Linked DNA regions of Bombyx mori. The protein of the gene in region 1 binds, or shares a complex with, the protein of each later gene. Links are inferred from orthologs where the notes say so. Each region holds a gene or a part of one and is shown in the gene's direction. Other genes may lie near its edges.

Evidence for each region. Proteins that work in one complex are often made in the same cells at the same time.
Region 2: the proteins of (E3-independent) E2 ubiquitin-conjugating enzyme (region 1) and nucleosome assembly protein are in contact, whole or in part, in a cryo-EM structure (PDB 7UN6), measured with the Homo sapiens proteins. The link is inferred for Bombyx mori from reciprocal best matches to the Homo sapiens genes UBE2O and NAP1L1. Residues at the interface, in NP_071349.3 of Homo sapiens: Ser225, Asn226, Val282, Lys283, Pro284, Val285, Lys289, Ser290, Lys291, Phe292, Arg293; in NP_001317160.1 of Homo sapiens: Arg333, Arg337, Thr343, Gly344, Glu345, Ala346, Ile347, Asp349.

Annotation. Positions count from the first base shown.
Region 1 is NC_085123.1:4,182,050-4,186,720, forward strand, and holds the start of (E3-independent) E2 ubiquitin-conjugating enzyme, read left to right. Parts: upstream 1-1,391; 5' UTR 1,392-1,520; coding exon 1,521-1,745; intron 1,746-3,615; coding exon 3,616-3,843; intron 3,844-4,147; coding exon 4,148-4,390; intron 4,391-4,671. UniProt on the Homo sapiens protein: E2/E3 hybrid ubiquitin-protein ligase that displays both E2 and E3 ligase activities and mediates monoubiquitination of target proteins. Negatively regulates TRAF6-mediated NF-kappa-B activation independently of its E2 activity.
Region 2 is NC_085120.1:5,045,420-5,049,559, reverse strand, and holds the end of nucleosome assembly protein, read left to right. Parts: intron 1-63; coding exon 64-194; intron 195-304; exon of another isoform or gene 305-385; intron 386-450; coding exon 451-611; intron 612-1,005; coding exon 1,006-1,194; intron 1,195-1,391; coding exon 1,392-1,514; intron 1,515-2,366; coding exon of another isoform or gene 2,367-2,426; exon of another isoform or gene 2,427-3,422; coding exon 3,423-3,539; 3' UTR 3,540-4,105; downstream 4,106-4,140. UniProt on the Homo sapiens protein: Histone chaperone that plays a role in the nuclear import of H2A-H2B and nucleosome assembly.

The DNA of each region.
Region 1 (4,671 bases):
AGGTCTGTCAAAATATCATTGGGCCAGCGGTCAACTCCCAGCGTCTGCGGACCCTTAGGCATCGAAACTTTATGTATGAGGTTCAACCCTCTGTTGGAAAGAAAAAAAAGGGTTAAGTTTCAAACTCTTCGAAGAGTTCGATGAAATCGGGTACTAGGCCCCCTATGCCTGCTCCAAAAGCTAGCGTGTAGATACTTAATAGTTTGCTTTGAAACGTTAGTGAAACGGTTGGATAAAACAAACCTACGGAGCGCATAGGAGACATACCATGAACGCTTATGCCAACTTTAAGATATCATAAGACTGAAGAATAATTGCGTAGGTGCAACGATTCCACTACCCTGTAAACGATAGTGAATAAATCGATATTTCATATTAATATTCTAAAAATAGTACAAAAAGGGGCAAACAAAAGCTGCCATGATTAATGTAGCGACATCTGTATACCTTAAGAAGCAATACCAAATTACGTAGGTGTACCGATACGTGTAAGACGAAATATTATTAATTTATCTGATTCTACGCCTGCTGCAACTGTGACACTAACTATTATAAAGCAATACACTAGAAGTAATCCCGTAAAAACCTGAAGCGTGCTGAATACATTTAAAAGATAAGCTTGCATTTAATTACTTTGCAATTTTTTAACAACTATATCTTCTCTTTCTACTTTACCCTTAAACGTGTACGATAGTGCCTTGTGCGATAGAACCTACTCCGGTAGGTAGTCTCTTCAATTTTATAGATTTTTTAGTGATATCAATGGCAGACGAGTCTGATACATACGGTTGTAAGTAGTCGTAATGCGGACCACAAGCAAACCTCTCGTATAACGTTGTAAAATGTTCAAATAGAACACAATTTTTTTCATTTTTGATACCTATGGACTTTGGTTTACAGGTAATAGGACGTCTTGTGAGTCCGCACGAGTAGGTACCACTATCCCGCCTATTTCTGTAGAGAAGCAGTAATGCGTTTCGGTTTGAAGGGTGGGGGTAGCCGTTGTACTGAACTGTGACCTTAGAACTCATGTCTTAAAATGGGTGGTGGCATTTATTTTGTAAATGTCTACGGGCTCCGGTAACCACTTAATACCAGGTGGGCTGTGAGCTCTTCCACCCATCTAAGCTATAAAGAAATAAAACCTCTTTATTACTCACATGGTATACTCAAAACTCACAAAACTATATTTTTTGGCGACTTCATTAGAGGAGTACTTAATTCAAGACGTATGTAAGATCTTTGTTCTGCATTATTTTCTAACTAAATGAAGTCTCCACAAAACATATTAAAAAATTTACATTTATAATACAGGTTTAAAAGTAGGTGCAGATGTTAAAGTCAATTTTCAAATTATTCGGTAAAACGGAACGTATATTTTTTACTAAGAATTCCGAAAGATGGCGGTTCCGCTGCATAATTTATTGACGCATGCGCCACACATTGCAATCAGCTGTCAGAAAGAATTTATTCTTGTAAAAAACAAAATTATTAGTGTCTTCAGATAATTCCCGTCAAATATGGCGGGGCAAAATCCAGGATCACCGACCGACTTTCAATATTTTTATGAAGATGAAGTTTATAAAATCAACAACCGGGGCCAAGTGGTTTTCGGCCTAGTGCTCGAGAACTATGAAGCTAACTCCAGTGACCAAGAGAGCGACATTGAAACACCTATACAAAAAGGAGAAATTCGTGTTGTATGGCATCCTTCCGGCACAGAACGCGTTATATCTGAGAAATCGGTAAGCAAGAATACAAACCAAATGACACGATCACAGGAGACACCGGTTTTAATTAATCATATTTCCATAAAACGATTTTAAATCAATGTGATTGTACGATCTGGGTAGGATGAGTGCAAAGACCTTTTTATCTCGTGTCATAGATTTAGTTTTAAGATGACTTATGACACATCTGAAATAATTGCGAGGGTAAAAAAATAATACCGTTTGCTACGTCGCTAAAAAATTTAGCGTAAACGATTCACAAGGTATTTAGAATGTCGAAAAATAGCAGAAAACCTTAACCAGTCAACTAACGGGAAAATTATCAAATAAAACGAATGTTCTTTATCTTATTATTCTAAACTAGAAAACAAAATCCTGAACATTAAATAAGTATACAATAACATAATAGTAATTTTAATATTTAATAAAAGAAACAACATTTTTTTGTGGCTACAATAGATTTTGTTTCATCGAATTCCAAATAGAATATCTGCCGCGTTTCTAATGATATTTATCTCTAATATAAAATACACTTGAAAAATAATATAGATAAAAAACCAACTGAAGAAACGTTCTTCATTAAATACCAGTAATTAATTCTGTAACCTGGTGCTAAAGGGGCTGAAGTATGTTGTTTTGTGAAAGAAGATTATAGTGCCAGTTTATTGAAACAATAACATAAAATTTAGTGCTTTTGTGTTTAGTTTCTCAGTAAAATTTCAAAATTTACTATGTGAATTTAGAGGGTTTTAATACAGTTTATTTAATTTTATTGATGGCTCACACTTCTAATGCTTAATAATAATAATAATAATGGCAGTGTTTAATACACTATAATAATGATACTGATTTTAGTCCCACATCAAATCATAGGTTTAGGTTCAGATGTATATTTGCTAATGATTCAATTCATTTAGCTTTAAATGATAATGAATATCTAAATTGACATCTTTGCATTTTTCTTGACCAGACAGTTGCTTACTGAACACAGTATATCAACAGTCCTCACATGTATTTCATTGTGATAATTATTTGTGAGCATTATAATGAGGGCATGTATTAATTTGGTGTTTGTCTTCTTTGATTCTTATGGTAGACTAATAGACAATAACATGTGAAATAAGAAAACACTGTATAATTTTGTAGTAAATTATGATTCATTTACATTAAAACATGGATACAGTATAAAGATAATAAAAACCAAAAAAATTCAAACCAATATTATTTTTTTGGCATTATTGTGCTCTCCTCATTGCTATCATAAAAGGCCTTAGTTCAACATCTTTTAAACAAATAGCAAGAATAAAAATAAGTGTATTCAAGTACAAACAAGCAAAATTAATATGAAACAAATAGCAATACTTTTAGCTTATTAAGAATTGTTGTAGGGCTTGAATTTACTAAGCCAACTCGCAGAGCTAATAGTTCTATTGGAAATGCAAGTTCATCTGTCAGTTGTCTTTGTAACTGTGGCTTGCATGTAAAATCATTGTTAGATATGTCCAGTTACGCCCTACTGTTCGAGCACTGTACTGAACTACTTTAACTTTTTAACACATTATAATATAGTCTTCTTTGTACTTTGATTTAGTGAATATAATCTAAAAAATGAAATTCTAAAATTGCTCTTATTAGTCTTGTGTGACTGTGAAAAGTAAAGTATTAGAAATGTTTGAAATAATATGTAATATAATGATAATAATAATATAAATATACCATAAAACTTATAATAAATAATGTAAATCAACCATAGAGAGACCACAATATTTCCCCAAGAGGTGGAATATTTTTCAAAATAATTTGACATTCAGCTAATATATTATAAAAATTTGTTATTCCTAAAAGAATAAGATTTATATATAAGCTAGTTGAATTTTGTGAACAGGTGGGTCTGGCAGACAGGTCCCTTATGCCAGGTGATGTGGTTCGTCGCCTCATCGCTGGCAAGGATACCCAGAGGGGATATTGCCGCGACATTGTAATGACGGCCGCCTTGCAGATCGTGGGCACGAAACACGTGATCCCCAGTGTAGCAAGTGAAAGACTTCAGCCTCTTGAAGAATTTTCCCCTGATTTAGCAGTTTGTCTTGATTCATGGGTTGGCACTTCTAAGGTTAGATTTTGATTTTTTAACTCTAAATATCTGTGTGATTATCTAAAGAACATTTAAATGGAGATAGACATTTTAAATTTATTAAGAGAATACAAATTGATTAAGGATGTTTCAATATAATTGTATCCCAAAAGTACTCTATAAGTGCAATGAGTGAAATTATTTCCCAACCATATCTAGTTATTTTAAATTAATTTCTCTATTTGATAATGTCCTGATAGAAACACATCCAATCGTCTAAATTACAAAATCAAAAGATGTATTGACCTCAAAAACAGATCATATTTTAAAAGTGTTTCTCCAGGCCGTCCACAGTAAACTACGTTTAGTATCCTCCGATGGATCACGTCTCGAGTATTCAGACCTAGACACGTGCCCTCTCGAGGACTACTCCATGCGACGTCGACGCTCCACGCCGTACTCTTCGTCTGAATATTATCCTGGACAAGTGGTTTACGGGCCTCTGGGTTCTTTGGATAACGCCAACTGGTTGCACATGACTAAGGAAATGAAGGCTGCTAGAAAACATAAGATGCATGATCATAAGGTTTGAAATTTTTTTATTGTGTAAGTAAATTTTTCTATATTAAAAAGTTTCATTTTTTTAAATTATAATGATATTTTTTTAAATAGTTTTTAATTTAGAGATATATTATATCATTACATAATTTGAAACCAAAACGATGGCATGAAAATCATTTTAATCACAATGATATTAAAAAAGCTTATATAGCCTAAATAAAAACTACACGACAAATTCCTGTAACGAAATATACTACACATAAAAAAAAACTGTTCTAAACAAGTTCTGTCCTAACAACATCCATC
Region 2 (4,140 bases), on another chromosome or scaffold:
GTTGATTAATTAATTTTATACTTTTCTAAACATATTTATTTAATAATTATATGCACATTTTAGGCCTCCAATGGATCCCAATGTAAAGGGTATCCCAGACTTTTGGTACAACATATTCAGGAATGTCTCAATGCTCAGCGAAATGATGCAAGAACATGATGAACCAATTCTAAAATGCTTGCAAGATATTAAAGGTATGTTTGTTGAGTTTGTGGACATTTGCTAAATTATTAGCAATACTCGTTTATTTCAATTTACCAGGTGAACTGTCAGCTTTTTCACCTAGCTTCTCAATAAAAATCAATAAAATTACATGATGACATTTCACACCAAATTCTGAAAATTATGATTGATTTTTTAACATGCATCACCAACTGATTATCACAATTATTGACATGACAATTTAATTATCTACATTTTCTAAGAATTAATTAGCTTTTTCTAATTCAGTGCAAATGCATGAAGACCCCATAAGCTTCACTCTGGAATTCTACTTTGCTCCAAATGAATACTTCACAAATACAGTACTTACTAAAGAGTACTTAATGAAGTGCAAGCCCGATGAAGAGAGTCCATTAGAATTTGAAGGTCCTGAAATTTATTCTTGCAAGGTTTGTTTTGCTATTATTGATTTTTTTTATAGAAGAAGAACACTAAAATATATTATTATTACTAGCTGACCCGGCAGACTTCGTAGTGCCACAATCGATAAATAAAAGACCTAAACTTTTGTATAAAATAAACTTAAAACAAACAAAAGGAATCTGTCCGACGGGAACACATTAAAGAAAAAACAAAATTGTTGTTTTTGTTTAATTCCGAGCATTTTCATATTTATGTTAACTTTTAAACCTTCACTGCACTTCCACAAATAATTCAAGACCAAAATTAGCCAAATCGGACCAGCCGTTCTCGAGTTTTAGCGAGACTAACGAACAGCAATTCATTTTTATATATATATATATATATAGATATATAGATAGATTATTGTTGTTGTTTGTTTAGGGATGTGAAATAAACTGGAATGCTGGTAAAAACGTAACTGTCAAGACCATAAAGAAGAAACAGAAGCACAAGTCCCGTGGGTCAGTTCGCACTGTCACTAAGTCCGTCCAAGCTGACTCCTTCTTCAATTTCTTTAACCCACCAACTCTGCCGGAAGATCCTAACTCTACAGTCGCCTCTGATGTACAGGTACATTTAGTTTTTAATAATTTTATGGAAAATTATCAAAAAAAAAAAACTATTGCTCATTCTTCATGATGATTTTCAACACCAATAACTGAAATAAAATGATTAACGAAACATGCATCACCAACTGAAACAGTAATTTTCATTGATAATGTTGAACATAAATATTGCAGAATTATAAACTAAACTTAACGTTGTAGGCGTTGTTGACTGCGGACTTTGAGATCGGTCACTACATCCGCGAGCGCGTCGTGTCTCGTGCCGTGCTGCTCTACACCGGCGAGGGACTCGAGGATGATGACGATGACGATTATGAAGAAGAGGTATGTTCAGATTTCACATATAGCAGTTGATATCGAAAGTCATTAACTGAATTTTAAATTTTTCGCACATATCGATATTTTCTAGTGTTGTCAATATTATTGCGAAAAAAATTAATTGGAGCTGATCTATTCCTGCATATTATGGTATAGGACATATTGATATATTTTAAATAACCTTCTTTTTGATGATTTTAACACTAATTCAAAATAATAGAAACTAGATTTTGACTATAGTTTTCTTTTCATTAAGCTATTAAAAATAGCTTGCTTTTAAATGTAATCTGTTAATTATAGTAGGAGTTGTCTAGAAGAAACAAAATGTGCAGTATTTTAGTGTTATCTTTTAATCTTGTGGTAGTTGTAAGATTGCATAATTAGTGAATTCTACAGCCATCTTTTGTTTCTACAGTCGTACATGCATGGTAGCTTTATTATGCTTGCTTAGAACGTTTTCATTTATCCCTTATCCTGAACAGACGGAGGTACGGTATTCGATTGTGAAACCTGTAATTGGTAAAAATAGGCTGACTGGGTATACCTACTGGACTTTGCAAAGATTGTCTTTTATGGTTGCTATATGAAGTAAATGATTGAAACACTGCATTGCCATTTAAGTCTACATCCAAAGATGAAACTCAACCAGAATAGAAAATTTTCATAAACTTATAGTGACCATGTAAACTAAATTTCAATCTCGTAATCAAGTAATTGCTTGATAGATGTCTTGAATTGCTATGTAGTGTAATCATCTAGGGCAGGCGCATTACGGGCTGAGGGTGGGTTTATATAACGCATACGGTATCTACGTCTGGTGAAGGCAGCCCAACCAACAGCGGTCATGTTTGGTTTCAGGAGGATTCGTACTCTGACGAAGACTCCGGTACCGAGGAAGTTTCCGACGTGGAGGATTGATACGAGACCGTCCCCCCTAGCCTTCTATAAGCCTCAGAGGCATTCGTCCGACTCGATCGCTTGTATTTATTGCAACAAATAACATAGGAACCTCTAAATAAACGCACACGACATCGCTGTGCTGCTAGCTGTCGTGATCATATCTGGCTCATATCAATTGTAAACGAATTCTAAAGAATAGCGCGTCGGGCTCCTTGTAAATCCCTAGTATTTATGTTTCTCGCTACAAGTTTCTATGCATGATTTATCCTTTGATTAGATAAATATGTTTTAGAAATTGATATAAGGTCTATTCCGAAAGAGCAGACTGCGAGAAGTGATCGGTGCCTTCTTAATGTGTAATGCATGTTTAATCTTAGATTTTTGTAATGATAAACTACTGATGCATTTCTAGTTAAACAAATTCGTTTTTATTTATTATACAGTCATTATAGTGTGTATTTTTTTTTGTTCACGAGTTTTGCTTATTCGTTTATTTTTACTTTGAAATTTCATGTGATATTATTAATCTCTTAAGATGATTTGTTTCTTACTTTTAATGTGTTGTCATTCCAATAGTACTGTTGCCGAGGCAGGCTTGTCCTTGAACCGGAATATTTGTTGAATCTCTTAGTGCCAAAATGCATTTAAACAAATTCATCACTTCAGCATTGCTAACTGTGATCTATTCAATTTATATTTTATGATAACTTGACAATAGCTAGGGAGTATAGATATATTTTTTTATTTATGTAACTTTCTATTGAAGTTGGCATAATAAAGTTTATGTATGGCAGCCACTCAGGTAGTTGTACTTGGTTTTAATGGCTTCTTATGTTTTTGGCATGATGTCGTTAATAGTGACATTAAAATTGTATGCTTTTTACAAATGTGTTTTATTTCACCTCGTTTTGCATGTTAGTTTTGACGGAGACGATGCGGATGGTTGCAGAATTCACTTACACTGGTAATGCAATGTGCCGGTCGATGTTTTAACCATAACGCTGTTGTATTTAGGAGGAAGAGGAATGCTCGATGGAGGAGAGCGAAGACGATGAGCCGGCGCCTCGGAGACGAACCAAGAAACCCGGCAAGGGACCTGCCGAGAACCCCGCTGAGTGCAAACAGCAGTAGCTATTTAATTGTAATGCAGTTCGAGTTTACCGGAGCTTTATACAACAATGATTCTGGTGCTGATTTTCCTGTTTTCTCTCTTGAGAAATGAATTTCGCAGTAACTTAGTCGACTGATGGTAACAGTAATAATGTATGTACCAGAATATTTTTGCTAAAAAAAGAAATGTGATAACGATTAGCTTGGTTTGCACTTTACAACCATCAGAACTTGTGCAGCACATTCCTCATAATGGCAATGACTGTACAATTATTTTGCCATCCGCCTCTATCAAAATCACGGTGCTGCAGACTCAATAGGAAATAAAACCTATGATATAGCAACACTAATAACTACTCACGGTCTGAGAGACTTGTTAAGTTTCATTTAAGATAATAATATGCTTTTGGGCCTTTTAAATTTAATTCATTTGATAATAATTTGCTATAATGACTCGTCCACAGGTAGGTTTAGACATTCAATATTCATCCAGTGATTATATGTAATTGTAATAAAATTAAATGTTAATCGCATGCCGGCAAGTAGAATATTTGTACACAACGTTTTTAATTAAAGTTTAAGAACTACATGTTGTCTTTATTTTACTTAATCTTTCCAAGTT